Linked DNA regions of Diceros bicornis minor. The protein of the gene in region 3 purifies or fractionates together with the protein of the main gene of each other region. This does not show direct contact. Links are inferred from orthologs where the notes say so. Each region holds a gene or a part of one and is shown on either strand. Other genes may lie near its edges.

Region 1 (7,616 bases), on a different chromosome or scaffold from region 3:
CAAGAAGGAGGCCAGAGGCACCTCCCCACAGACAGGCCACCCGGGGCTCTCAGGCAGGCCCTGAGGCTCCAGCCGCATGATTCTTCCAGAGCAGAAGATGGGGCAGACCAGAGCTGGAGATCAGAAGGTCCTCACGGACCCACACCCACCCTGGGAGTCAGGCCCTCGCAGCGGAGCTGCAGGGGCTCCCCCAGCCTTGACCCCAAGTCGGGGTGCAGGGACACTGCCCTGTGTCCTACCACTGTCAGCCCAAAGGAAAAGCCCTGACACCAGCTTTTCCCACCTGCCATCCTTCTTCCACCCCTGAATGCTGAGCACAATGGTGACTTCCTGAAGAGATCACAAGAAAAGTGCCAAGTGTGGCGGCTGGGAGCGGAAAAGTGCCTCCTCGACAGATTTCACCCTCCATAGAAGGCCTGAACTCAGCACAAGCACAGCCAATCGCCTCCTAATCAAAGGTGGGTGGTGGGGGAGGGGCAGGTCTCAGCAAAGCCAGCTTCCTGGCCTCTGCTGCCCACCTGGGGACACACACTGATGGGACAGAGATAGCCTCTGGGGATGGGCTAGGAGTGATGGCTCAGGGCATCTTTAGAAGCCAGATGGAGGGGATCCGAGGCCGGATCAAGGAGAAACTGCCCCCACACCCACCAGCCCTCCTCCCTGCTCTGCTTCCCCAGAGGCTGAGCCCACCTCATGGAGAAGGAACGGAGGGTCCCAAGGGCCCCAATCCACCAAGGTACCCTGGGCCTCCCACTCAGGCTCAGAGCCAGCCAGGAAGGGGAAAGAGGTTTGGGCAGCTCCATCCCCTTCCCCTGGACCCAACTCCAGGGCATGGGCACTAGGCAGGAGGCAAGCCAGCGACCCCTGCTCCTTCTCCTGGCCTGCAAACCCCGTGGCACTAGGCAGGAGGCAAGCCAGCCACCCCTGCTCCTTCTCCTGGCCTGCAAACCCCGTGGCCAAACCTCCTAGGCAGATGTGGCCTTGGGCACTCTGGTACTCAACCTAACCCGGCCTCACTCCCACCTCCTCCAGAAGCCCTCAGCCACTGAAAGCCACTCTGAAAAAGTCTACAACTTCATTTCCACTAAAGCATAAGTAAATAAGAAGATTTAGGGCTAAGTGTGAATGTGTATGGGGGGGGCATCCCTGGGGACACACCCCAAGGCCAACCTAAGCTAACCATGACCCCTGGGCAAGACGGGTCAGTTCTGGTCTAGACAAAACACTCTCATCCCTGGAGGCCAGGAACCACCCATACACCCAGGAAAGGTGGCTCTGGCCACATTACCCTTGGGTTGTCACTCCCCAAGAGTCCTCAACACCCATCAGGGCCATGTTTTTCATTAACCTCCTCAACGCTGAGCCCCAACTTCAGGTGGGACAACTTTGGGGTGACTGAGAACTGCATTCTTCCACTCTATGCCATCCACACCAGCCCACCTACCGTGCTCTGAAGGCTAGGCACCCTTGAAGCTACCACTGCCTGCAGCCTCAACCCAGAGCCTAAGGCCTGGCTGCGAAGGAGGGCTGGGCCTGCTCACCACTTTGCTCCCCAGGCGTCTAAGTCCTGCTGCTTCCTCTCATTTGCAATTTCCTGGTGGAGCTGCCCCTGCTTGCCCCCTGCCCTGTCCACCGTCACTCAGGGCTCAAGTACAGGCACTTCTCTTTCTCCCACTGCCTCTCTCTCTGGCCAGGGTGTATCCCTATTCTCCCTGCCCAAGGGCTGCCCAGCTTGGCCAACCAGACTCGTCACAGGGAAAGCCTGCTTCCCAGCCCAGCAAGCACGGCCCCCCTAAGCTCCTCCCCTCCTGTAACTCAGAGAACTATTTCCCAGTTTGGAGAACTGTCCCAGATGCGGGTGCAGGACCAGCTGCCAGAGAGTAGCATGCCTGGGAGAGGCCAGACAGGCCAGACACTTCACCTTCCAGACCAGGAGATAAGCTGCAAGGTGGCCCCTCCACTTCCTCCTCACGGCCCTACCCTCAACTCGCTCATCAGCCCAAACTTAAACAGGCGCCCCAGCCCCTGGGCCGGGCTTATTCCCCACATCCCCACGGTTTCCCTCCTACTCCTCGTTTCCCGACCTTTCAGGCCCTGAAGCCCCTAGCTCAAATCCCCCCAGGCATCAACATGAGCATCGAGTGACCTCATGCTGATGACTCAGCAAGTCTCCCTCTGGGTTCTGGCACGCGGGTGAGGGGGCGAAACCGACGGAGCAGGGTCTTCTCAGCCCTGCCACGTGCCACCTCTCTCCCCCGGCCCGCCAAGGACCCCTCGCCCGGGAGGCGATGACACGGACACCTGATGAATCAGCAGCTCCAGCCGGGGCCGCCGTGCTCTTCCGCGGAGCCCCGAGCGTCCCGCTCGACCCCACCCTTTCCTCCCGCCACCCCGGCCGCCCCTCCCTCCAGGGCGCGGTAGGTTCTACCGAGCCAGTCCCGCACACGCCCCGCCCCGAGCTCCGCCGGCTCCTGCGGCCCACCCCCAGCACCCAAGGAGCAGGAGCCAAGAGCTGCTTCCCCGGTGGGGAAGTCGAGGCACGGGCCGCCAGGAGGGTGCGGGCAGACCCGAAGCCAGGAGCGCCCAGCCCGCGCCGCCCCGGTCCACCAGGAGGAGCCGCGGCCCCGCCGTGCCCCCGGGCCCGGAGCCCCCGCCCGCCCCGCACGCCCCCCGCCCGACCCCGCCGGCCCGGCCTGGGCCCGCCGCCGTCTCACCCACCACACTGCAGGCCCGGGCGGGCCGAGGCCGGGGCGGGGCGGGGGGCTCTCCGAGGCCGCGCGGGGGCTCCGGGCCCAGGGGGCGGGGGGGGGGGGCGTGCTCGCCGCCTGCGTGGGCCGGGCCGAGCGCGCTGGGAAGGCCGGGCCGGACCAGGCTTGGGATCCGCCGCCGCCGCCGCCGCCGCCGCCGCCGCCGCTCCACAGACGTCACATGATGTTTGGTCACGTGGGCTCCATTCATGAAGCGGCGACGCGACCGTCCGGGGCTTAAAGGGGAAGGTGCGGCGGCAGCGGCGGCAGCGGCGGCTGAAGCGGCCGCAGCGGCGGCGGCGGAGCGCTCCTGTACTGCGCCTGCGCGCCCAGCGCCGTCGCCCCGACAACGCGCGCGCCCCGCCCTGCCCGAGCGGGGTCTCGCGGGACTGGCGCGGACGCGCGCTCCCCCGCCGGCCACGCCCACCCTTAACCTGCTACACTGCCCCCCACCCCCCCACCCCGCTTCCACAGCGGGAGCCGCGGGTCCTGCCCAGGCGCCTTCCTTACCCTGGTGTGCACACACTTTCACTGGCCACGTCCAGGGGGCGGGTGCGGACCCGCGGTCCCCGGGCATTACCTGGTGTTTCTGATGCCGCACGGCAGGCTCTACATGTATTATTACCTCGCGTAATTGGAGAGCTCTCCTCAGCCATGCCAGGAACAGTGGCCTGGTTCACAGACAAGCAACAGGCGCGGAGAGGTGACAGGCTTGTCCAAGATTCAAACTTAGGTCCGTTCAGGCCACCTCCAGGATCCTCCCAGTAGTGTGATTAGTGTGGTCCGTTTTCACCCGACACCCGGAGAACTCACATAAGTGAGAAGGACTGTGTCTGGACCGTGTCTGGCTCAGAGCAGGTGCGCCTGTAAACATCTGTTAAATTAATAGTTGATGTAGGAACTGTACCTTGCCTTTCCTTTTTCATCAACATCTGTCTGGAACTCAGTTCACGTATCCATGTCTGCTCCTGCCCTTTCTGTAAGGAGTTCTCACTGCTGTTCAAAATTCCCAGAGAAAGACCATGAAGGGGTAGAAGGGAAATCGGAGGGCTCCAACTTCCACTTCCAATTCTGGACTGCTGCTCAGGTGTAAAGCCAGGAAGGGTGACCCACCCTGCCAGGCAGATCAATGGAACCCAGGTGAGCTGACAGAGGAGGCACCCGCTGTGGGGTCCTTGTGAGAATGCAGTGCCACTGAATGAATGAGGAAGGCCAACCAAGGAAGCCTCTGAAGCCAGGGAGCATAAAGCCATCACAAGCATCACCTGCCAGACTCCAGGAACTTCTCTGAACACACAGCTCCTTGTCACTCTCTACTTTGTAGGGTTGCTTGTGGTTCTCGTATCATCCCATGCTCTTTAGGGCAGGGCACATCCCCCTACACTGGGTATAGCCCGAGTGTCACATACTTAGGGCCTTCATGTACCTGTGACATGACTTCTAAAGCCCTCAACTCTTTTTTTTTTTTTTTTATGAGGAAGATCAGCCCTGAGCTAACATCCATGCCAATCCTCCTCTTTTTGCTGAGGAAGACCGGCCCTGAGCTAACATCTATTGCCAATCCTCCTCCTTTTTTTTTTTTCCCTTTTTCTCCCCAAAGCCCCAGTAGATAGTTGTATGTCATAGGTGCACATCCTTCTAGTTGCTGTATGTGGGATGCGGCCTCAGCATGGCCAGACAAGTGGTGCATTGGTGCACGCCCGGGATCTGAACCCGGGCCACCAATAGCAGAGCATGCGCACTTAACCTCTAAGCCACCGGGCCGGCCCCTCAACTCTTTTTTTTTGGGTGAGGAAGATTGGCCCTGAGCTAACATCTGTTGCCAATCTTCCTCTTTTTTTTTGCTTGAGGAATATTAGCCCTGAGCTGATATCTGTGCCCATCTTCCTCTATTTTGTATGTGGGTCACCGCCTCAGCATGGCTGACAAGCCCGCCCGGGTCCACAGCTGGGATCTGAACCTGTGAACCTGGGCCACCAAAGCAGAGTGCACCGAACTTAACCATTACACCACGGGCTGGCCCAGCCCTCAACTCGTAATGTACACAAGAGCAAAGATTTGCCACTGAGGCCAAGGATGCAGTCCTATTGGCTCTGTCTCCTCTAGCTTCTTCACCACCAGGTGCCGGCTCCGTTCTCCTGGTCTTGCTCAGTAGCTGTGTGGACTTCGAGCTATCGCTGGGCTGCGGGAGTACAGCAGGCCCCATCTGTTGACATGGGGCCACCTAGGTCAAGCTGGAACCATGGTGCCATCAGGAAACACTGATAACCAAGTGATTTGGCCCTGGGGCTGGGGGCTACCACAGGTGGACACTCACTGGCTAATCCTCACTCACTTTCCTGTACCCCTGACTCCTCAATCCTCACAGGATGGAGTCTGGCTGCCATTTACACATGAGAGGTAACTGAGAGGCCAATTTATGAATCATCTGCTGCTCTGCTCCTTCTCCCTGAGGGACCTCCTACTCTCGGGAGCAAGGAATTTCCCTCCCCGCTCCTTCTCTCTCCTGGGAACAGACACAGCCAGGAGCTGCTGACCCATTTGTTCTGGAGCTTGAGCTCAGCTTGCACAGGGGCCATGGGATAGGTGTCAGCCTGGCACAGGAAAGGACTGGCAGAGGTGGGCAGGGTAAGAGCCTCAGCCAGGCAGGCAAGAGCCTAAGGCAAGTTTCCAATTAGGAAACTGAGGCAGGAGCTGGATCAAGCAGAGGGAGCTGGCTCTTCCACCAGGTTTACCCAGCCCATTGGGCCAAGCACAGTAAGATTCACTCCAGCCTCTACCCCACTTAGGGGGTCCAGGCCATGGGAGGTGTCAGAGCTGGTAGTGATGGGCCAGGAAGGCACTGCCAAGCTGACCCTAGCCCAGTGAGGCTCCTGCAGTGGCTTTTCTGGAGCCACATTTTTCTGCGGCTTTCTGAGAAGGCACATTGTAATGCTTCTCAGCTGGCATTGGGGGGCCCCGGCCCCCAGAGCCCATCTCCCTCTTGGCCTGCTCTGGATCCATGTAAAACACCTTCCTGCTCTGCTCAGGTCTGTGCTCACACTTTCAGTGGCTTCTGTGGTGTCTCTCCCTGCAGAACGCTCTGGGCCTCGTAGGCCGCCTCAACCCTTTCGGCAGCCTTTGGCCTGCCTGAGTCACAGCCCTCCCTCAGGCCCCATCTGACTCTGTTGCTGCCCCAGCTCTGGCCTGTGGCTTAATCGGAACCACAGCGAGAATGCTCATGGGTCCTGCCTGCTGAAATCCGGCGTCTTCTTCACGGGCCGGCACCAAGCCCCGCTGCAAAGCCTGTCTGGACTCCTGTTCTTCTTCCAAGGCTGTGACATGCCTCTCCCCCACTTTAGAGTCACCTGGTCGCCTCTCTCTGACCCTCAGACCTGGTGCGTGTGGCAGGAGCAGCACACCCCCCCATCTTCTTTTTTTTTGGGGGGAGTGACCAGGACTCTCCAGGCTACCCTGACAGGGACGAGGAACGCAGTCTTGCCCTTCATTTATCTCTTGTGCATTTTCTTCCGTTTTTCCTGTCTCCTTTTTCCCCTTAGATTTGGAGGCTGTACCTTTGTCCCCAAAGTGCCCCTTCCACCCACCCCACGTGCCCCAGGCCTTGGTTCTAAGTGGGCCCAGAGGAAGGAGAACTGGAGATGAGACCCTGCAATGTGGTTCCTCGAAAACTTCTGCCCAGCTCTCCTGATCCCCTCCTCTGCTCCTTGGGGGGAACCACTGCTTCGCCTGGGGCTCCCCCCACACAGCCCACAGACACCCAGCCCAGCTCCCCTAACATACTTGAGCGTGTGTGTGTGTGTGTGTGTGTGTGTGTGTGTGTCCCAACCTCTGGAAACAAGGAGCCTCATCTTACTGTCTGCATGCTTGGTAACTGTTTGTTGATTGAACCAATGTGAGCACTCCTGGCCCCAGAAAGGGTTCTGACCCTCAGTAGCTCCTCTGATCTTATGGGCCTCCAGTGATGGTTAATTCTATATGTCAACTTGACTGGGCCATAGGGTGCCCAGATGTTTGGTCAAATATTCTGGCTACTTCTGTGAGAGTGTTTTTGCACAAGATTATTTTAATCAATAAAGCAGACTGCTCCCCATAATGTGGGTGGGCCTCATCCAGTCAGTTGAAGGCCCCAATAGAACAAAGACAGCCCCTCCCAGAGTAAGAGAGAATTGTCTAGCAGACTGCCTTCCGGCATCACCTATAACTGCCTCTCCCTGCCTGATGGCCTCTGAACTGGAACATCAGCTCTCTGTAGGTCCAGCCTGTACATGGACTTGCTAACCTCAACTGCATGAGCCAATTCTTTATTCTTTATAATAAATCTCTTTTTCTCTATATTTATCTTATTTTATATATATAAACCATTTCTTATTGGCTCTGTTTCTCTGGAGAACTCTAATACACCCCCAAGGGGGCTCCTTCCTCATGTGACCCTGGCCCCGCCTGGGTGAGATGAGGAGACATTTCCCCCACCAAGCCAGGAGGCTTGGAGGATGCAGAGGCTGGTGCCCCTCCCACAGCAGGGCACGCCAAGCCCAGCTTATGGTACCAGCTTCCATCCTGCCTCTAGTGACTGAGGCCAAAGGGCTGCACCCTTCCCCGGAAGCTCCTTCCCCCTCTGCTCACTGGGATGCTCAGCCCCCCCCCCACCCCCGGCAGCCTGGCTGTTACACTGGACAACAGTTCTCTGGCCAGGGGATGGCCTCCCTCCACATGTGGTGACAACATTAGAAGTCAGGGCACTGGGGCTGGAAACCAGTTTATTTAACGTAAAAGGTCAGGGAGAAAAGTGACAGCATCTGTGGGTTGGGTTAGGAATGGGAGACAGTGGACTGAGTGTGCCAGTCACCTCAGAAGTTCAACCATCTGAGG
Region 2 (7,580 bases), on a different chromosome or scaffold from region 3:
AATAAAAGAGCTGGTTTCTGAGACCTCAAATTTAGCCTGTCTCAAGTCCAACTCATCTCCCCATCCCTACCCTCAGCCTATTCTCCCTCCTGTATTGGAATTGGGTAGCACTGCTGCCCACTCAAACTAAAAAATCTCAGTCCTCCTCAACTCTTCCTATCCCTCCTTCTCCTTGGCTTTGCCTATTCTCCTGCCTATCCCCTCCGCACCCCAACCACCCTTCCAGGACATCTAATGATCTACCTAAAACTCTCTCCCCGCCCAATCCCCCCGCACTGCCTTCGCACAGACTCTTTTCTCGTGTGTAGATCCCCATGGCCTCCTCCCTACAACCAGCCCAGACATCAGTCTCCCCTCTCTCTAGCCCATCCTCCTCCATGCTCCCAGCAGAATTATTGCTCAGGAACCCCAACCTGATCACGCTCCTCTCCTCTCTCTAAACCCTCAACGGCTCCCCACAGCTCCTTCAAGCAGTGTACAAAGCCCTCGACAGTCTGGCCCCGCTCTCCACCGTCAGCCTCCTCTCCTGCCACTAACCCTCACACACTCTCTGATCCAGCTGTGAGGAACCTGGCTGCCTCCAAACACACCAAGTCCTTTCACACTTTTGGGCAGGTCCCTATCCTCTGCCTTGGCTAGGCCCACCCATCCCACCCCCTGTACTCAGCTCTCAGGTCACCCCCACTCCTGCAGCTTTCTTTCTTCAGCCCCTCGCCACTGCCTGTTGCAACCTCCTCACCGCTCCCACCAGCAGACTGTCAACTCTGAAGTGCAGGCAAGAATCATGCCCTTCACCTGTGGCCCCAGCCCCTGGCACAGCGTCTGATACACAGTAGATACCAAAAATGCACGCAATTTGGCATATGGCAGAAATGCTGAAAATCCTCACCAGATTTAAAGATAATGTACCACTTTTCTCCTTAAAATCGCCCAAGTTGCAAATACAGAATCTCAAAGCTATGAGTGGGTAGGTGGACTAGAGCACAGAACAGGGCAGGAGGGTCTACCGAGGAACGTCAGTATTACAGAATGCCCACAGGGCAAAGGAAGTCTGAGTGCCAGCCTGGAGCCCTTTCTAAGGCCAGCACAGGAGGTTACGGACAGTTTTCCCCCTGGCCTTAGCTGCACTGCCCCTTCGCTACCGCTAAAAACCGGAGCTGAGCAAGAGGGCAGGGCAATGCCTCCCTCTCTTTCATGGAGACCTGGTCACTACTTTCTCAAGTTCCAAGTGCCCAAGTTCTCCTCCTGGAGATGAGTTTTGGGAATGCAGACCTACCCCACAATCGTGCTTTTTTCCACCTTTTTAACCTTCTCACTGAACCCACAAGTGTCTGCTGCCCGAAAAGGACCCTCAGCATACCCAAAGCACTGTAGGGCTGATACCAGCCTAGCTGGGAAAAGCCCACATCTACTCCCCCAAGGCACTAGCCCACTGTATCTCCTACCCACTGCCATCCCACCGTCAGGCAGAGAATAACCAGCATCAGGAACACTGGTGAATCAAGGCTTGTTCCCGGACTTGATGTGGATATTGTAACCCACAGCCAGACACACTCATGTACTAGTCTACCAGTTTACCATGGCCTGGGCTTTACATGCCATGTCCCTGGCACAGACAGACAGCCAGGAAGCTGGACACTGCCAGATAGCAAGGTGGCAGCTGACCATGGCTCTGGAGTAAGGTGTCTACCACCACACCCTAGCTGCCCCACTCACCTTGCGAGCTGCATTCTTCTTCCCTGACCCCCGGGGTACCCAGCACTCTACTGCAGTGTCATCCTGGCTGGCAGGGAGATGAAACCTCCCTCTGCACCCCAATACCATGTCACACTGAGACAGACAACTGCACCAAAACCCTCTGGGAATAGAGAGACGACCAAATACAGGAGTGTCTGCATTTTAGAAAGCTGTTGCTAACCAGAGCAGTCCCTAGCCTATGGAAAAGCAAACCCCCTGCTCCACCCATCTGCAGAAGGAGCAACTTCTCCTCCAGTCTGTGGCGGGAGGGAAAGGGACAGGGCTTTCACCTTGCCGCTCTTATATGTGTTTGCTTTCTCCAACATAAGATGAGACGACTAGCAAAAATAGATTTCTAATGCCCACAGCTGTCTCTGAGGACAACCTTTCAAGAACTTTTTCCTAGATGATGCATCTCCTAAGAGGCCCCTGAAAGTGGGATGCAGTGTTGGCTGATAGCCAGATAATTTTGCAATCCGGTTTAGTTTTAACTGAAATTTGGAACTGGAAGTATTTCTGGTCCCCTCTCCCAGAGGATGTGAATGTTAGGAGTTGGACCTTGGACACAATTCGCATCCTTGGAGGCTGAGACTTCTCCCGATCTCCCCTGACACAAGGAGCGGCCAGAGGGATTAGGGACCCGAGGAGATACAATCGGAGTAGCGCAAGTCGGGGACCCCGGGACCACCTGGCCCGCGTTCCCAGCAGGCCTCAGTTTCCCATTCTTGAAGAACGTCCCCCGTCCGACCGGGGACCAAGGCGAACCAAGGGACCCAGCGGGGCCGCTCACCTCTCGCGCGGAGCGGAGCTGCTGGCGCAGCGCGTCCTTGCAGCCATAGGGGCCGCCGGCCCCCGCGCCCCGGGGCTGGAAGTGCGCCTCGACGCGCGTGGCGCCGCGGTAAGCGCCCTGGTAGAAGGCGGGCCAGCCGAGCTCCAGCAGCGGCGGCTCCAGGTCCGACTGCTCGGGGAAGTAGGTGCCCGACGAGCAGTCGTGCGACGAGCCGAAAGAGTCCTCGGCCCCCGCCGCCGCGCCCTCCTGGTCGGGCGGCTCGGCCGCGCGCAGGATGGCGCGCACCTCGTCGGGGTTCAAGAAGCGGCCCAGGCGCTCGCGTCGCAGGAAGGCCGAGAAGGCGTCGGGGCCGCCCGCCACCAGCTCCTCGAGCGCCAGGCGCCGTTCCTCGCTGTACAGCTCGGCCGGGTTGGGCGGCCCGCACGGCGACAGGCAGGCGGCCGGCAGCTCGTCCAGGACCTCGCACCGCAACGCCATGACGCCGCTCCGACAGGACCAGGCTCGGGCGAGCGCGGGCGTGCAGCCGGCTTTATAGCACCTTTGAATCTAGCCGGCCCGCGCCCCGGGCCTCCCATTGGCTGCCGCCCCTAACGGCGGAGTGCACACGCCGCCACGGCCCCGCCCCCTGACCTGCTACTGGCTGCGCCGCGGCCCGGCCCCGCCCCGCGCCCACGCATTGGCTGCGGGCAGCGGCCGAGTCCACGCACTCGCTCCGGAGATGCTTCGCAGCATTTAAACTGGGCCTCTCCACTGCCTCCGATGTAGCCGTGCCTCCTCCGGCCCTGCGGGGTGCCGAGGTCTTCACGGTCAGCTAGAGAGGGTGCCAGGCCTGAGTGGCCGTGCTGTCCGGGGCGGCGACCCAGGCGGCGGAACCCGAACTGAAGCCCGAGAACCGGGCCTCAGCCATCCTAGCGCGCCCCCTGCCGGCCGGCCCGCCCCAGAGCGCGGCCCTTCAAAGGCCTGGGCGGTCAGACCTGGGCCCAGCGAGGAGAGGCTGGAGCCTGCTCCTGGGCACACTGACCGCGCTGATCCTGGGCTTTCAGAGCTTGTGTGTGACCAGCCATGTCACCTTTATCCCCTGCATTTAATCAGTCATTCATTCGTTCAAATATACTGGTCCACCATAATAGTCACTCCTTTGATTACAGCCTCAGGTAGCTTTCTTTTCTCTCACGTCATCCTTTTTTGCCTGGCAAAACCACAACTCTGGTTAAACCCCACTCTCCCCCTACTTTCCACCTGCACCCGTGCAGCAGTATAGGGCTGGGGAAAAGAAAACGCAACCCTGCTGACTGGTTGGGCTTTAAATTCATGATCTCAAGTGGGCCCTTAAGGTTGCCTGCTAGCCTACCTTTCCCTCAGTCACGCTACGTTTTCCTCTCTCCTTGCTTCCTGTGTCACTGGGAAAATAGAAGCAGTCAAGACAAGAAAGTCCACATGCTCCCACCACATCTACCTACCCGTCTGTATCTCTGCCCACTTACAGGGCCTTCTCTTACTGCAGGTGAACTGTCCCTTCCATTTGGGCCCTAGCTGCCAGCTCCTCTACTACTAACCCGTATCTCTCCAGCAATTCTCTTCTCTCTCCTGGATCTTCAATTTCCCTTCTCTAATGGTTCATTCCTATTAGCGTACAAACATGCTGAGTTATTTTTCATCTTAAAACAACCCTGTCTTGACCCTACATTCCTCCAGAGCTTCCTCCTCATTTTTCTTTCTGCTCACTTTGATAGCATAAAACCTCAAACGAGTTGTCTGTACTTGCTGTCTCCAGTTTTCCTCCCATTCTCTCTTGAACCCTGTCCAATCAAGCTTAATCCTCCTCTGCTCTGCCAAAACTTCTCGTCAAGGTCATCATGAGTTCCGCAGTGCTAAATCGAATAGTCTCTTTTCAGACTTCATTTTCTTCATGTAAATGAGAAAGCATATGTGCAACTTTAAAGTGCTTCATAATATGAGAGGTTACCCTTATTATTTAGAAACCACTACACTTTTTAAATGGATGAATGGCCACTCTTCAAAGATAGCTCTGTTCTTCTCATCCTCTCTCCATCCCCAGCCTGTTTGTGAAGTTTTTCAAGCCCAAGTGTGGGCCCTTTGATGTGTCCCTGCTCTGGCATCCAGCATCCACAAGGGTCTAAGAGAGCACCCTTTTCATCCTCTCCCGAGACACCAACAGACTTCTTCACATGACAAAGACAAAGACTGTCACGGTCTGGGGCTGTGCAACCACATAGCTTGTCAATGCCTCTACTGCCTGAGATAAAAAGTGAGAATAACCAGGGTCTTGCCTGCTGTATCGTCATAATAATGCGAAGTAGTATGTAGTATTTTACTTCCCCACTGTAAGCTATATGAGGAGAAGGACTGGTGTGGGGTGGGGGGAAGAGGATAGGACAAGTCGGTGCACTCCAAGAACAGAACAGAAGAGAGGGGCAGCCCTGTTATATATAAATATGTCATCAGACAAACCTTTGAAAGTGTGAAAATATATATATATATATATACACACATATGAGCTGTTATAGACCTCCACGTTAATTCCAAACAGAACATTTGACAGAGTGAAGGTCATTCCCAACCACCTATCTTTTCTTGAATTCATCAGGTTTCACCATCTCCCAGTCTAGACAGACATCTGCTCCATGTCTGAGCCCTCAGAACTCCCTCTGCTTCAGGGCCCTCCTGGAAAGCCTTCTATGGTGGGAGCAGGGACCGACGGGGAGCCCTCCCCCACCCTTTATCCCAGGTATCACCTCTTTGTGAATTCAAATTAGCATAGTTCAAGTGAGCTCACAGCAATGACCACAGCCATGCTAGCAGGTGTTATTAAAAGAAATTTAATAATCTTAATTAAAAATTCTTAACAGCGAATTCTGTCACAGGCCTTGGCAGCTGGAAGCAACTCCAGGGGCATGCCCCTCTGGGATGTGGTCGAGCCATGGTCTCGGACACAAGGCCCACCACTGCCGCATGGCAAGGAGCTACCTGGAAGTTACTTCAATACAATATCAAAGATCCGCGAGGATTTTTTTTTAAAAAAGTTTTAAATATATTAGACTCTCTTGATTGCCATTTTTACACAAAGCTGCTGATACAGTATACAGAGTTGTAACTTTTTTTTCACATAAAATACATTTTTCTTAAGTGTTCTCTGTACATCAGTGGCTTCTGGTCTGGTGAATTATTGCGGAGGGCTGGGGGTCTGCAGACTTTTCCTGGGTGTGCAGAGCCAGGCCCCGCACTGTGGCACTTGCAGTGCCCGTGGGAAGCAGGCCCTCTGGCCAACTGGCCAACAAGAGACTCCTGTTAAGGAGAGGGCTACAGCTTCTGGCAAAGGAGGTCACTTCTGTGGAGTCATCCACTGACCACATGACCCATTGCTCTTATATGCCCAGGGGGAGGGGTGGCTGTCCCCAGGCTACAATAGCAAGAGTTAAATATAGTCCTTCTGGGCATCTTGTAAGGAGCACCCTCTGGAAAGTGCCCCAGTATCCTGCTCTGGGAAAGCAAGTGGGAGAGAGAGCTCAAGATCCAAAGGTGTCTGACACCAATAACCAAAAGGTCTCATCTTATTACAAAGCCAGCAAACTGGGGTGGGGTAGGACAGGGGACACACCCTTGTTAACTTTCCTAAGCCCTTCAAATTGATCAAACAGTGCAGAGCATTTTCATCAATGCTGCATCTTTGATGGAGAATTACATTCTGAAGTCATTAGATCTGGGTTTGGGGTTCATTCAGCTTCCTTGAGCTGCTGGCCAGAAACTCACTATCTGGTGATTGCTACCAATTTTCAATTGTTTGGGGTGGGGCATAGGGTGGGAGCAAGGGCCAGGACTCACAGTGAGCCATGTGGCACATGCTTTGGAGGTAGCCTCCTTTAACCTGCCAGGAACTGCCATCAGAGCTGGCGGGGGGAGGGGTCCAGCGGGAGCTGGGCATCTGGTCGACCTTGCCAGCTTTCTCCCAGCTCCTTGGTCCACACCTGTCAGGAAGAGAGACCAACTCACGAGGAAAGGCTTCAATGTTAAAGGAGAAGCTCCTTTTCCTCCCATTATCCACTGATGGGGCAGAAGGACTCCATAATAAATGAGCAAGAGACAATGAGTTTAAGAACCTGAGATGCATTTGGCAGCAAATTCCAGACTCCTTGTTCTTCTAGACACGGACCTCAAACTGCTATTATACAGTGCCCCAAAGATGCTGGCCTGAAGGCAGCTATCCCTGAAAGTTCCAGACGGACTTGGCATGGTGTCTGCCCGGAGCCCAAGATCCAACATCTGCATTTAGTGGCAGATGTTATCCAGGGGTGGCCATGACAGTGGTTTGCCAGCTAAAGGGATTCATACTCTAGGGCTTTTAGGAGCTGAAAAGCAAAGGGATGCTGAACCAGAATGCAGTCACTCCACCTCAGGTGAGTTGAATGGGGCTGCTGATACCTGTGGTCCTCAAGGCATGAAAACTGTAAAGAGCAGTCTCTTCACTCTGTCTTGTTCCTCTTCTATCCCCAGAACCTAACATAGTGCCTGGTGTGTCACAGCTGCTCAGTAAACCACATGAGTGAATAAATGAATGACCCTGGCCTAGCCCCAGCTTGTCCCTCAACACCCAGGAGGCCCACAAGGAAAGTTCTCTGGGTACTTGAAGCTCTAACCGGGAATGGTTTGTCCCTGACTGAAAACATAAGCTAATGCCCAAGAGTCTGTAGTTGGGATTCCCAGTCCTCTGGGTGGCAGAGGATTGGCCCTGGAGGCAGGAAGCAAGGGGAAGGAGGGAATGGCCAGAAGGGCTCAGAGTGGGCAATAAACGCCTTCAATCTCTGGCCCCTGAGCAAACAGATCGGAAAACCTGCACAGCTCTCTCCTAGGAGTGTATGGCTTCCCTCTGCATTCCCCAGCTTGCAGCTTAAGTCGGCTCAAGAGGAATTTCAGTGTCAGTCTGATCTGAACAGTGTTTTAAAGCCAAAGGTATGTGTGTTTGGATCATCCCCACCCTGCTCCAGCCATAGGCTGAGATGCTGGACAGCCCGCCCCCAGACCACAGGGACGCGGG
Region 3 (7,945 bases):
CAAAAAACGCAGACTTCAACAGCATAGAGTAGTTTTTAAAGAATCTGTTATATGCAAATTACACTCCAACGTGTAGATTATCTTCAGGTGTTCCTATTGCATCCTTCTACATATTACTACACTTCGGATCATATACATTACATAAACCAATCACCTGGCTTGTCTCCAAATTAAAAATACACGGTATCATATGTAATGGGGAACTCCGTATTTTTTGTATTTCCATTCCTGACATCAACAATGTAATAAGAAATTGACACTCAAGCCTCTACTCTTTACAGTATAAAAAGAATAGTACATACGAAACAAAAATTAAATGAATATTAAGAACATTTTGAAAAAATGATAGCTCTTAAGAGGAAATCAGAAGTTAAAAAAAAAAAAACTCCAGTTGTTGAAAGAATGTTATTGGCAGGGATTAACAAATTCTTTATGTTCCCCAACAGAAATAGGGGGCATGCATCCACATTATATAATATGTATATATTACTGTTAATCTGTATCTTGATGCTTAATGTCTTCCTTATTTTATATAAAGTTTTAAAAATCAAAGTTTTAATATTTTCTTCCAAATGAATCACCTTACACTCTACTTCAGAAACCCTAATCCCTAAAAAATTCATGATTTCTAATCTCCTCTAGTACCAAACTTAAAACAACAAAATTAACCACTTTTTTCTACCACAAAATGTTTTAAATGAACTATCATCAGTAGGAATTAGTCATTCTTTTAACCACAGGTAAAGGTCAGATTCGCCCACTCCACATTTCCCATCCTCAAACTCTTTTAGCAATAGGAACTAGTATCCTTGGGTCGTGTGCTCATCTTTAAAGCAAGAAGTAATGATCCGAGATGTAAAGACACCAGCACCATAAATAAGCGAGTGACACAGATATATATGGTTTGCCTTTCATTAGACAGCTCTTTCTGGACTTGACCCAATGAGACCTGCTAATTCCACCCATATTCTTTTTACCCTCACCTCTGCCACCAGAAACTACTGGCATAAGCATGAAAAGCCAAGGGCCATGAAAACCAAGAGGAAGTCTCCTTCTGTGTTCTCATAAAGAACTCTTTATAAAGAACAAATTCGGTTCACTTTTTGAAATGTGTAAACCACACGACAACAAAACCACAAAAGGCCAACAGAAAACAAAGTACTGTCAGATTAGCAAGTATTTTTGTTACAATACTGTTACTAGGTTACTTCTAGCTGCAAATTTCTTCCCCAGTTTTAGCTCTCTCCAGCACAAACTTATTCTCAGGCAGTAGGTCACGAGGCTGCTCTGTGTTTAAACACCGCCTCAGCTCCACTTGGCCACTTCCTAAGAAAAGCTCTTGCACTTCACCCACTTATTACCTGTATCAAAACAGACAACCCCAGCTGAGTCCCCTTCAGCCCTCTGAAGCAACCGGTCTTGAGTGCTCCTTGGCCTTTTATAGTGGAGGCATGTGATGGGAGTATCTGCACCAGCTGTTCCTAATTACCTCTCAGGCTGGGGCGAATGACTCAGCAACCCAACTTTTTTAAGGAGTCATCCTACCTTGTTATCCAACCAACGTAGTATTGAATGAACAACGGTAAACCAGTCGACACAGCTACAGCTTAAACAACAATAATACACGATGCGACGTAATTATTAAACCAAGGCCATCCTACTCCAAGCTGACTCACCAAGAGTCTTCCTTTCCCAAGGCTTCTTTAATCCCAAGGCAGAAGTGGCAAGTGCCTTCAAGCCCAGCCCAGCCCTTGCACCACTACCCAAGACCAGGAAGAAGCAAGCCCTCTTCCCATTTCTCTGCTTGACCATGTGAAGCGCTCAAGTGCTCTGTCACTAACACGTCCGGTGTTTCCACCCTTTATCTTTCTGAACCGCCTTAAACGCACACCCTCAGGGATGTAACAAGGAGTGTTAAAATATACAAGCAAAGACCTAGTAGTGGCATTCCCCACGGATAACAGTCCCAACGATGATAGAATTCTCCAAAAAGATAAGCATCCCTACAAAACAGTCTTTGTTCCTCCAAGCATGACATTATGGCTTGTTTTGCCCACACACGTTCTTCCACAATTACTACTACACTGTACCTTGAATCAGCCCAAGTCTAACGCAGCAGACTCACTGCACAACAGCATTCCGCACGATTCTACTCAATGACAGGAAAATGCTGTGCAAGAGTGAGAAAGCAATGGCCCTCGTGTGACAGCAGACGAGCACAAAGCTGGAGTCTCTGTAATCCACGCCCACTCTCACCGTATTGTGGGAGTCATTACAACGTGCGGGCGAAACTCCAACAAAGGGAGCCCTGGGATCTCCGGTTTCCTAACCCGATCTTCGCTGAACGCAGCCCCGCAAGGCGGTATTTCTGCTCCAGCCACACGCTCGGCCTCTCTACGCGATTACACGCGCGACACACACCCGGGCTGGGAAGACGGGAGGCAGACACTCGCCGGCTGCGGAGGCTGGTGGGAGGGGCGGGAGGACAATACGGAGCCGGGCCGGCCGCGCGGGCGGTGCTGATGTGTCACAGCCCGGGCGGGCCTCGGCTGGGCGGGCCGGGCTCGGACCCCGGTGAGGGGAGGCGGGGTGGGGAGCGCGCGCCCGGACCCCGCGGCCCCCGGCGCAGCCCCGCCCTCCGCCCGCCGGCCCCCCGGCCTGCCCGGGGGCAAAGTACAGCGCGGGCCCGTCAACAACAGCGCCGGCCGCGCGCAGGGCCACGGGGCGCCCCTTCCGGCGGGCGCGGCCGCTTCCAGGCGTGGGGGCCGCCGCCGCCCCCCGCCGGCCCCACGGAGCGCCCCCGCCCGGGCCCCCCTCGCCGCCTCCCCCGGGCCTGCCCGCCGGCCGCCCCTCACAGGCCGGCGGCACCGACCGCGCGCCGCCGCGCGGACTCTCCCGGGGAAGGGCGGGCGGGACGGTCGAGCCACTCACCAGAGCCGAGGCGCGGCGCGGCCCGACTGACGGCAGCGGGAGAGCCTGGCGGGCGGCGCGGGCAGTGGTCAGATGACTCACGCTCAGCCCGCGGCCGGCCGCCGCCTCTCTTTCCCTCCCCTCACCTCCCTCCCCTCAGCCGCCGCGGCCGCCGCCGCCTCCAGGCGCCGAAACGCCCTCCCGCTCGAGGCCCCGCCCCATAGGCCCATCTCTCGAGGCCCCGCCCAGGAGGCCCGCCCCGCGCGGTTAGGCCCCGCCCCCACTAGAGGCCCCGCCCCGCCGCCCACGAGGCCTCACTCCTCCCGCCGGGGCGGGGCGGGGTCCCGGCGGCCGTGGCCACGCGGCCTGAAGCCCACGCGCGGGGCTGCGGGGAGGGAGCGCGCCGGCCCGGGGCGGGCTGCGCCTCGGGGAGGCGGCGGCGGCGGGCTCCGCGCACGGCGCCTGAACGGAAAAGCCACCCGAGGACCGCCTCCTCCTTCCCGGCTGAGGGCAGAAAGGAAAAGGCTGACGGCCTCCTCGCCCCAGGTGTTGCCAGGACGCCAGGAATCGAGCAAAGCCGCCGCGAGCCCGGAGGACCACAGGAGAAAGGACAAGCGCCGGCGACGTCCCTCCCCAGACCCTTTCAGGGGTCGCTTCTGGAAGCCCCCTAGGCAGAGCTCCTCCCTTGCCTTCCCGTGGCCGGGCGCCGAAGTTCGCAAGGTATTTGAGCTTACTGATGGGAAAGTATCAAGTGCATCCAGGATTTTGTAGAAAGCATCTGGCAGCCCTACTTCTGTCTGACAAAGGAAACAACAGCGTCGGCTAACAGGTGTTCCCTTTACCCTGTGGCTGCCAGGAAACTTGGAGCCGGGTTCAGCGCCCAGTGGTGTCAGCGGCTGATCTCAAGCCCTGGTCGGGCTTCAGTCCTCTGGTGTTTATTCTGGTGTTTATCCAAGTGTCAGTTTTAAAATTATGTTCCCAAGCCATTTAGCACCTCTGGAGGTCAAACAGTGTCTGCAAAGAGAGATGCGCACGTGGCAAAGCCTATGCTTATCAATCTGGAAGGAGACGTGAACACACTGGGACCTGCCAGCCACACCCAGCAGCATCAGGGTGTGTGGTCTCATTCTTGAACACAGGAAGACAGCCCTGGAGCTCCCAGGGTGGAAAAGGCTACCAAGATAATAAAGTCAGGTATTATCACTAGCATAACTGCGTTTGTACTCACAGGCTATGGGGCTTAGGGACATTTGAGCCACATCCAAAATACATGAGAAAATGACAGAAGTGAAATTGTATGGGAGTGCAAGGGGTGAAGTGATTCACTATGACCTAGAATCAAGGCAGCAGGTAGTATATGCATTGGGTCTCAACTGGGAAAAATAGGACCCAGCAGTCCAGGGAGGGAAGTGCATATGCAAAAATCCAGAGGTAAAAGGCAGATGGCATTCCAGGCTGTGATTTCGTGGTGGGGTACAAATATCTAGGGAGAAAGGAGGAAAGGACAGTTGGGCATAGACGGTGAAAGGATTGGGGTTCTTATACACATGGGAGAGTTTTTGAGGCTTCACTCTTCTTCCACCCTAAGCCGCTGGAGTTATATTCTTCCTTCCTCCCACACCTTTGCCTTTTCTTCTAGAGGAAGAATAGGCCCTCCTCTTTGGGAGGAACTCTTCCTTCTTTACCCTAGATAATGGTGGTGATATTTTCTAGCCTGAAAATTACGGCATGGACTCGGGTATGTTTCATCATTTGAAAAGTCTTACAAAGGTATACCAACGTGTTGAGAATATCAAGGCAGTTAGGAGTGACTCTCAAACTTTAGCGTGTGGAAGAATCTCTGGAGCACTTTTCAAATGCAGATTCCTGGGCCCTGCCCTCAAAGATTCTGATTTCATATGTCTGAGTGGGACCCAGGGATCTGCATTTCTAATAGTGATTCTGATGGTCTTCAAACCGCACTTGAGAAGTCCTGAGTTAGAGCTTATGGTGTGCAGTAGGGATGGGGTGAAAAATGAAAATAGGGAATAAAATAAGACCAAGTCGGACTGGGAGGGGCCTCATGCACTGTTCCTAGAATTTGGACTTTATCCCATGGGCTGAAGGGTGTATAGAGGTCTTGATGTTATGATTGTTTTTTGATGCTAATTCCAGAGCACTTCATTCACACCAATTTCATTACCTTAGCTCTATTTGTCTTTAAATATTCATTCACCAATTCCATCAACAAAATAGGCTTTAAACTGTGGGGCGTTACCAAGATAAAATAAGCATAGGTCTCACCAACTTGAAAAAATGCCAATTGACGCTTCTTCCCTCAAAAGTGATTATGGATTGAAACCATAAAACCCCTACCCTCAGGTTGGAAGGTTTTTGTGCAAAATGAACATATTTTATTAGAAGACAGAACTTCCCTGAGCAAGATGGGCAAACACGGCGTAGTGTTTACCTGATATAGGAAAGGAAAGGTAAGGTGAAAGGAATGTACCCTCTGGCTTCAGATGTCCACAAAATCTAAGATCAAAAAAAGGCAGAAAAATGAACAGGAAGAAGACACTATTGGAGCAGAAGAACTCAACAGGACAGGGACCAAATTGGTAAAAGAGGTGCTACTCAGATACCAGATTTAACAACAACCAGAGTGGCTCAACCTAGGGTCCAAGTAGGGGAAAGTTCTTGTGCCTCCAAATTGCAAGCTGTGGTGCACTGAAAATGGCTGAAAAACTTTTGTCACTCTCCCCATCAAGAAGGGGAGTTTATTTTCCATCCCCTTGAATCTGGACTGGCCCTGTAACTGCATAGCCAAGAGAACACAGAAGTGATTCTGTGTCAGTTCTGGACCTCGTCTTTGAGAAGATTAACATCTTCTACTTTCTTTCTTGAAACGATATCTCTCGGGACACTCCCTCTCAGAAACAAGCCACTGTGCTGTGGGAAGCCCAGTATGGGACATGTGTAGCCTCTCCAGGCAATAGCCCTGGCAGAACAACCAGCCAATAGTCAGCATCAAATGTGTCATGTGAGCAAAGCGTCTTGGATGTTCTGGTCTAGTCAAGTTTGTACATGACTGCAGCCCCAGCCAAAAGAACCTCCCAGATTTTCCTCAATTATGGATTAGTTGTGCCCCAAATTCCCCTCACTCTGCTGTATATATTTGTATAATGTTGTAGAGAAATTGTTATCCTCTCAGAAGCTAATGCTGGAAATTGTACTTAAAATTTATACACACGTACACACATAGAAGTGCTGGGGGGTAGAAAGTGAGACCCTCAGGATTCTGGGGGTAGCCTGGCTGCTCTGCACCCAATTGTGGAGGTGAGAGAGGAGAGAGTCGAGTTGCAGCCATAAAGATGACGGAAGACTGCACAAAGCTTGATGTAACCAATCCCTCAAGGCCGCGGTCAAGTTACTAATGTTTGGTGCAAGTGCCTACCTGTGGAAGCAGTGATGTTTGTGCTTGGTGCTGAGTCACAAACAGCACGGCCAGAGCCTTCAGCCACAGTCACATGGCTGCAAAGGACAGAGAAAAATCCAGCCCGATAGCTTTGTTGTGTGTATTTGTTGATGTTGACGCCAAGGATTATAACCTGCAGCACTTGATCTTTTATCTTTAAAATTCATGCAGGTATTCAATTCTATTCCATAATATATTTGTTTTGATAAAAGTGTTCTCAAAATAATTGTGTGTTTTTTTTTTTTAGTAAAACTGACACAACAAGTAGTGGGGCCGTGTTTTAACTCATAGTTTTACTTCATCTGGCATATAACACTTCATTCACCTGAACAGTGCTTCTCAAGAGAGGCCAATTTTGCCCCCCAGGAGATATTGGTATTGATATGGGGAAGGGAGGGGGGTGCTACTGATAACTAGTGGCCAGAGGCCAGAGATGCTGTTAAACATCTTATAATGCACATAACACTCCCCAAGGATAAAATACTTTGTGAATAAAGCCACCTTATCCCCCATTCACAACAAAGAATTCTCTTGCCCAAAGTGTCAATAATGCCGAAGCTGAGAAACCTTGACCTACATGTTGTCATGCTCCAATATGAGACGTGTATATAAATTAAAAGAAGGAACAAAGGAGAAAAAGGAAATAAGTGGAAAGAAAAGACAATGGAGCCAGGGAAAGAAGCTAAAAGTACATATCACATAACATATACCCTTGACAAAAATGAGCTACAAAATTATCTGTAGCTTCTTAGCAGTCAGGTATGATGAGCTAACATGAGGTTGAACTGGAGCCACTACAGTGAGAGGAAGAAGTACTGAACTCTTAGAGAAGAAGAGAAAATGGACACAGGCTGTGACTCCTATCATGACAGCCGGTTCCCTGGACTGGGGTGCCATATGTAGGAAGTACTTTGGAAATGGACTAGGATGATTGACCTCTGAGGTTTAAAAGCTATAAAGTAAGACCAACTGGGTCAGAGGAGAGAGACTGATATTACCATAAAGAGATAGAACCGTCATTTGGGGGTGCTGGATTTTCACCATTGGCCCCTCCAGATTCCCTCTCCAGCCTTCTCCACCCTGTTCTGTGCTGCAGGAGGCAGGCCTCTAGGCACGACATCCATGGGTTCCCCAGCTCCCTCACTTCTGGTTGTATGTGGATGATGGGAGGTGTCAGCATGAACACAGCTGTCTCCCTGCCAGGCCAGGGGCTGGCTGTGGCTATATTCCTCTACCAAAGGCCCCAGCTCCTGTCAGGCAGCCTTCACCGAAAGCTACAGACAAGGCAGCAGCATTCTAGGGGTGGTGATACTTGCCCACCTTGGTTAGCCACAGGGTGCATCACTGTCCCTTGGCCGGTTACCTTGTAAGTGGTCCCATATGCTTTTTCCCAGTTCCCTGAGTGATTCACCAGGTCAAGACTTGGGGGTAACCAGAGTGAATACATTAAAACATATAAGGAAAGAATACGATTGTCAGAAAGAGGAGTTCATCAAAATCTAAAGCCAAGAAAAGGACAACCAGAGGTGCAAACACAGGTAGCACATCCCTTGCACTGCCTTGGGTGCCTTGGCCAAGGAT
Region 4 (6,921 bases), on a different chromosome or scaffold from region 3:
CTTATTTTTAAAAAATTTTTTACTGCATTACATGGGCATTCAATCTGATTATTTGTGTATTCTTTGAAGAGCTCACCGTCAGTGGAGATTGTCTTCAGAGCCAAAAGGTCAAATTAAAACACAAACGTTGCTTATTTGACTCTAGTGTGACCTTAATAGCAAATATCTGTGACTTTGATAGGCAATAAACAGGTACTGTTCATATATTGTAGTGAGTATGTAAATTGGCACAATGTTTTTAGGGGGCACCTTGGCAGCACCTATCACAATAACAAATATACATGGGCTTTGACATAATAATTCCACTTTTAGAATGGTAACCTAGTGATATATTCACATTTGTGCCCAAAGATAAATGTACAGGGACACTCACCGCAGCATTGTTTTTAAGAGGTAAACTGGAAATAGGCTCATTGTCCTCAGTAGGGGAATGGCTGAATCATTTATGGTACTGAGAAGATGGGGAAAGCTAGGGGCTGTTACCAAGGATGAGGTGGATTTATACATTCTGACCCATTAAGTAAAAATCAAAGTCACTGAACAATATGTATAATATGATGTCATACATGTTGAACAAAACACAAAGCAAATACATTTGTAAATGCATAGAAAATATCTCAAAGCATACACACTACACCCTTAATGATTATTATCTCTAGGCAAAAGAACTGGGGAGACATATGAAGGAGACTATTACTTTTTACTGTAGATACTTCTTTCTCTATTGTTTGAATTGTTAACCATGATCATGTATTACTTTTTAAATTAAAAATAATTTAAAAAATAGAAATAAGTGACAAGTGGTAAAAAGGAATTTATGAGTTTGTTTCTCTTATTTCTGATGAATGTTGTTTCGTGACACCATGTGAACTAGTAGAAAGAACACAAACGTGGGTTCTAATGTTGACTCAACTACTGTGTGGTGGTGTGTACCTGTGTGCATGTGTATGTGTGTGTAACAGAGGGCAGGGTAGAGCAAGAGTGAGATTTGCAAAATAATAATTGTCTTACAGGGTTGCTGTAAGAATTCAGTGAAACACTGTACAAAAAGGTCTCTGTTGCTACACAACAGGAAGGCACTTAATACAGTTTACTTACATTTCCTTATCCATATCTGACTCCAGGTTTGAAATCTGTTTGATTCCAACAAATGAAGGTAATAAAAAAAATATTAGACACATGTCAGACCTATGTTCCGAATGTGATCCTGAAAACACAGTGCTCAAACATAATTATCTGCTCCTGTCACTTCTTTTTGCTCTTGTTAATAACAAGTTTATATTGAATACTTCCATTTTGGCTAACTCTAGGCAAAAAATATTTACATCTGATTCACTATGGTCAAAGAGATATGACCTCCTGGGGACAGGAGTTAAAGCGGCAAGGAAAAGAGCCAAAGAAGGGGATAGCAAACTGAGACTATTCGAACTTGACAATCCACAAAGTGCTTTATGGGTCACACTGCTCCTTCATATCCCTTTGATCCTTACGTGGATGAGACAGGCATGGATGATAACAACCTCATTAAACGGGTGAGAAGGAAACTGAGGCCCAAAGAGGTGAAGTGACTTGCCCAAGGTCACACTCTGAGCAAAGCCATGGCTTACTCCCAGTTTTTATTCCTATTATTCTGCCATCTAAAAATCAGTGGACTGTTCCAAGAGCTAAATATGTAGAGTGGAAAAACTTTTTAAAAAACAGGATAGCCTCAGTGTTTCTGGTAATAGAATGTAAGTACTCTAAATGATCAGTATATATCATACGTATTATGGCTTGATATTATTCAGTTAGGCAATGAATAAAAATCTTAGGTCTGAAAGTCATCCAATATCATTTTGGTGAATCTAGGCATTAAGTTACTGGGTTTTTTCCTTATTGGAAGGTGAGGTAGTTACTCTCGAGCGCTGCTTTGATGTTAGCCATTACCCATTGTGAGTGAAGACTTGCTGAAGTAAATTGTGTTGATTTAAGAAACCATTTATCAACCTCTTGGTGGCACAATGGGCCTAGAAAATTTTGGAGGTCTGCTTACTGTTTCTTAAGCAAAGAACAATCAGTAAAGCTGATTTGGAGGGCACCTGGGGACAAACAAGAGAAAAAAACATGTGAAAGGCCACGTGCCTGTGACTTTCATAGAAAATACTATTTGGTGATGACGAAGTATGTGATAGGGCAGCTCTGCTGAAAAGAAAAACCGTGGGTAGGGGCAGATGAAGGGCACCAGGTGGGAGGTAGTTTACCCACCAAAAACATGCGATGTCAAAAAATTAAAAAAAAAAATGTGATGTTAAACCAATTACAGGGATTTTAGTGTCTTAGTTTTTAGGAAGGTTGGTTTTTGAAGCAGCCAAATTCCGGCTCGGGGAGACGCTGAGTTAAAATTTGAAGGACTATTTAGGTGTCTTTTCCAGGACTCAGAAGATCCCGAGGCGCCAAGAGTGCACGCCCCACACCTCACCCCAACCTCTTTCAGGGTTATTCTCACACTCAACTCCCCGGCCCGAAACCCAACTCTTTAAATTGGATTACAGAGGTCCGGAGCCTACAACTAGCCTCCGATGTGTTCTTTTGGATCCTTTTTTCCTCCCCTCCCCAAAGAAAAAAATAACAGGGTGTGCCGTCCCTTTGCGTACCGCGGCCCCCATCCGAGGGGCGGGTCCTGATCCCGGCGGGCTCAGGCCCCGCAGCTTGGCGGGAGCCGGCGAGGGCGGGCCAGCGCGAGTCGGAGGAAGCCGAGCGAACGCTGCCGCGCGCCGCGCTCAAACTCGCGCCACCACCCGTTCACGAGCTGCGCCCCACCCTCTCCGTCACCCAAGGCGCCCAGCCAATGAGCAGGCCGGAAAGGCCGGGCCTGCGGGCTAAGCACTGGGAGGGGGAGCGGCGGGAGGGGGACGGGAAGTCGAGGGCGGGCTTCGCTTGATTGACAGCTCGCTCAAGCCAATCCTCCGCGAGGCTTCTCTTAGCTCCCTTCTCCGCTCTGCTCAGCTCTTCGTCCCACCTCCTCCTCCACCACCCCCCTCCTCACTCCTTTTTGACCCGCCCCTCTTCCCCTCCCCCACTCTGCGGGCAAATCGCTGCTGGAAAGAGGCGGGGGCCGAAGCGGCGGGCTCGTGTGGAGCCTTGAGATGGGACTGACGGGCGATCTGACCAATAAAAGGTAGGCTGATGGCGCGGCTGTGGCTGGAACCGGCCAATGGGCGGGCGGGCTGGGGGCGGAGGCCCAGGTTCCAAACGCTCCGCGGCGCCATGGGCTGAAAACTCAACCGAGATGGAATCTCCCAGTCTGAACCGGTTTCAACCGGTTCCGAGTTTGAGGCACTAGGAGGAGGGGGAGAAGCGGCTGCAGCGGCCGCGGCAGGAGCAGCGGGAGCTACAGCATCAGCAAGAGCAACAGTAGCTACAGCCCCGGCGGCGGTGCCTGTTCCAGTCTTTGCTGCTGCAGTCCGTGCAACCACCCAGAGGGGGAGGGGGGAACCACCAGTCGCTGAGAAGCAGGAGAAGGGGGGAAAGTTTAGGCGAGCCTGGGTGGGGGGGCCTAGCGCCGGAGCCGCGTGAGAGAGGGAGCCGTATTTTGGTAGGGGGGAGTCGGACTGCAACTGGCAGCAGAGCGTCCCCCGACCGTGTGGACTCTACACCCCCTACTCCTGCCGCTCCTGCTGCCGCCTGTGGCTGGAGGGTCCCCCGGGGGCTGAATCTTTGGGACTTGACCCCGTTCCCCTCCCCCTTCCCTCACTCCCCGGCCAGGCGGGAGCATTTATTCCACAGATTAATTCCCCTTTTGGGGGGGGCGGGTGGGTGTGTGTGTCGGGGGGAGGTTCCCTGAAATAGTAAATATTGTTGAGCTTTTTTTGCCCTTATCCTCTTGGTTTTTTTAATTTCCTTTTTTAAGGTGGGAAAACTGTGAAACCCACCTTGATTTCCTCCCCTCTCCCCCCTCCCCACCTTTCCTCGCCCTAATCCCCCGACGAGGAAGGAAGAAGCAGTTGGTTCAATCTCTGGGTAAGTCGACTGTGTCTTCGGGGCCGAGGGTCGGGCGGCGGCGCGGCCGGGCGGGAGGAGGCCGGCGTGGGGCGCGGCGGCGGCCGCGGGAGGCGAGCCCGGGAGGCGGCGGCGGGCCCACAGCCGAGCCTGCGATTGAATGGAGCCGCTTCTGCCGCTGGGGGATGGAGGCGGGGAGGCGGCCGCGGGAGGGGAGCGCTTGCTGGGTCATTCGTGTGTGCGGGTGGCGGTGGAAGAAGGCGAGGGGCGTGAGAGTGAAGTGGGGCCCCGCGCGGGGGTGGAAGGGCTTCCCCAGCCCCTGGGCTGGGGAGAAGTTGCGGTGATTTCAGGAACATTTCTGTAAATTATTAGGAGTGGAAGTTTCCAGAAATATTTAGTGCAGCAGCATTGAAACGTCCGCCTGCATCACGTGGCCCCTCGGTGGAGCGCTTGGGATCGGGGGAGGGAGGGGCTGCCGCGTCCCTGCTCCTCCTGCAAGGAACTCGGAATCTTCCTGGTTTTTGGCAGAGTAGGATTAGAAGTAGGAAAGGTTAGTTATTTTTCAGGGATCTGCAAATGGGGTTCCGTGCTGTAGTTTGTTTTCGGGGGCTTGAGCGTGTTAAGTGATCGAATTATTTACTGCTGGCATTGTACAGCAGATGATGCCGATTCTCCTTCATTCCGATGTCTCTTGAGTTTGGGGTGGGTGAGAGGAAGTGGTATAGTAGAGGAAGCTTTCAAGATTTGCCCAGCCCGGACCTCCTGTGATCACGCAGAGGCCATGCTGCATAGAGAATGGGGCGGTGAACTTCAGGCGCCTGCTCTAAATGCCTCCTCCGAGTATGGGCGGGGTGAGTGCGTGCTCCTGTATGCTATAGTTAGAAGTGCTGCAGATCGGTTCGGGTGGGAAGCGAGGGGAGGGCGGGCCTTACTGAGGTGTGTTTCTACTGAATGGAGGAGGCAATTGGCCACACACCCAAATAGCAGCCTCTCTCCTTGTAGCGACTTGTTTTTTTGACCTACTGTGTAGTTAACATTTAAGCAACGGTTATGATTTTCTGGTTTGGGGATGGGAGCTGGCAGTGTAGCTGCCTGCCTATTCAGTCTGAAGTGGCAGTGAAGGTATTTTGGTAGTCATTTGTAGAGTCACCACATTGCTGGGTAATCCCTTGTATATGCTATCCAGTGAGTGGATTTTAGGATTGAGTGTCCCAAGGAGAAAAGAAAGCGTTTGTGGTTTCACTTCTCTCGCTATGGCTGTTTGCTATCTGCCTGATTGTATATCTTAAGCGTGTGGGACAGTGCTGTTAGTGGAAAGAATGTTTTGTTTTGGAAGCTCTTTGATTTGGGGGACTAATTGTGCTTGGCATTGACCAGAAAGCCGCCATTTCTGTCCTACGTACAGTTCAAGAATAGGTAGGTCATTTCGAAGATAGCCGCTAGTTCTAAGGATGGCAAACTTATGTATTTAATACAAGCTTCTATTCTAAACCTGATTTTTCACAAGAATTTAGCTCGAAGGACTCTGTAAGGACCATATACTTGAAAATGAAACTTTACAGAGTCACTTTATTTTTTTATTTTGGCCTTTCAATTATGATAGGGCTAAATAGAAAAGTTCGTTCAAATTTTAACCAAAAAAAAATCGAAAACTTTTGATAACGTAGCTCTTGGTGCTTTGTGTACATTGCTTTTCAGCCTCAATTTTTAAGATTGTTCTGATCTTTTAAAATTGTATGGTACTTGAATGGGGGGAAATTTACCCATTTATTTGTGGAATATATATTTCCTTTTTTATATTAGTATTTATCCTTTTTTATATTAGTATTTAGAGCAAAGATTTTTGTTGTATTTGTCACGTATTCTGTATTAAAAACATTTAAAAACTGCTGTAAAATATTTTGAAATCTTATCAGTTTTACTGTCTATGGATCAAGCCTTAAGAGGAATAAAAATCCTTGAACTGTTTCTCGATTTTTACATTATATATAATAAAAAAATTAACTGACATCCTCAAGACTTCTAATCTGTTGTAATTGACATTATCAAGTAAAACATTTGAGTTGAAATTGCTGCCATTATTGTTAAGAACATCTTTAAGCTGCTATAAAATGGCCAAGAAATAACATCTTTTTCCTATCAAGCTACTTTGTCCAGGCACCATGTAATCAAATTAGCCACCCATTTCCTGATCCTGGAAGGTTTTTAAGAGGTGGAGAAGTGGAGATAACCATCTGATCTTGTTGGGTCTCCCAACAGTAAACCAGAGGTTCTTAGCCTGAGGTTTCTTGCGTGGCTTTCAGAGTGTCCTGAATCTTCTGTAATTGTATACAAAATTGTGAGTTTTTTTAATTTGGCAGGAGCTATCATTTTCCTCGGATTGTAAGGCGTCTTGACCCAAAAAAGGTTAAAGAGTACTGATTTAGCCCGTCAGACTTCAGTGGCACTGGCTTGAAGAAAAAGCAGAGGAAAGAGTTTTATAATGCTGGGCAACAAAAATGTGAATGTGTGCCAGCACTTTGGAATAGAGTCCTCTTAAAAGGATAACATTGCATATGAACCAGTAGGTTTTAGCCAGTACATTATTTGAGGTGAAGAAGCTCATTTTTCTGTTATGATAGAATTTGTTTTTGTTTGGGAAATAGTTGGCAAGCTTTTACAGCTTTTTACCTTGCCAGTGAATACCTGGAAATTAAAAAAAAAAAATTGACATATTAGCATAAAGGTTTTTTTCTAGACTATATTCAAGGAATTTGTACACTTGTGATTTTAATCCCCAAGTTCATTGAGGGTTGAAAGAAACAAATATAGATGGTTTAATTGAGTGTAGAAACTTAAGTTCTGTAGAAGTTAAGGGTACTAGATTTGTTAGACAACTTGTTCCTGCTAATCATTGCTATATATATCATAGGAAAACTTGTATACCACGTTTAATTTTTAGCA

What was found.
Region 1: the proteins of BACH1 (region 3) and MAFG purify together in Homo sapiens (affinity purification with mass spectrometry; 5 studies listed by BioGRID and IntAct, counting the BioPlex papers as one, with this or other methods). This does not show direct contact. The link is inferred for Diceros bicornis minor from reciprocal best matches to the Homo sapiens genes BACH1 and MAFG.
Region 2: the proteins of BACH1 (region 3) and FAM83D purify together in Homo sapiens (co-immunoprecipitation; 3 studies listed by BioGRID and IntAct, counting the BioPlex papers as one, with this or other methods). This does not show direct contact. The link is inferred for Diceros bicornis minor from reciprocal best matches to the Homo sapiens genes BACH1 and FAM83D.
Region 4: the proteins of BACH1 (region 3) and XPO1 purify together in Homo sapiens (affinity purification with western blotting; 3 studies listed by BioGRID, with this or other methods). This does not show direct contact. The link is inferred for Diceros bicornis minor from reciprocal best matches to the Homo sapiens genes BACH1 and XPO1.

The regions. Positions count from the first base shown.
Region 1 is NC_080757.1:61,254,650-61,262,265, forward strand, and holds the start of MAFG (transcription factor MafG), read right to left. Parts: upstream 3,012-7,616; 5' UTR 2,959-3,011; coding exon 2,719-2,958; intron 2,003-2,718; exon of another isoform or gene 1,409-2,002; coding exon of another isoform or gene 1,349-1,408; intron 892-1,348; exon of another isoform or gene 410-891; coding exon of another isoform or gene 284-409; intron 1-283. UniProt on the Homo sapiens protein: Since they lack a putative transactivation domain, the small Mafs behave as transcriptional repressors when they dimerize among themselves.
Region 2 is NC_080758.1:21,344,000-21,351,579, forward strand, and holds the start of FAM83D (protein FAM83D), read right to left. Parts: upstream 3,013-7,580; 5' UTR 3,005-3,012; coding exon 2,528-3,004; intron 1-2,527.
Region 3 is NC_080766.1:30,145,256-30,153,200, reverse strand, and holds the start of BACH1 (transcription regulator protein BACH1), read right to left. Parts: upstream 3,015-7,945; 5' UTR 2,932-3,014; intron 2,510-2,931; exon of another isoform or gene 2,257-2,509; intron 2,244-2,256; exon of another isoform or gene 2,091-2,243; intron 2,083-2,090; exon of another isoform or gene 1,677-2,082; intron 1-1,676. UniProt on the Homo sapiens protein: Transcriptional regulator that acts as a repressor or activator, depending on the context. Binds to NF-E2 DNA binding sites. Plays important roles in coordinating transcription activation and repression by MAFK.
Region 4 is NC_080751.1:25,718,180-25,725,100, forward strand, and holds the start of XPO1 (exportin-1), read left to right. Parts: upstream 1-3,910; 5' UTR 3,911-3,999; intron 4,000-6,921. UniProt on the Homo sapiens protein: Mediates the nuclear export of cellular proteins (cargos) bearing a leucine-rich nuclear export signal (NES) and of RNAs.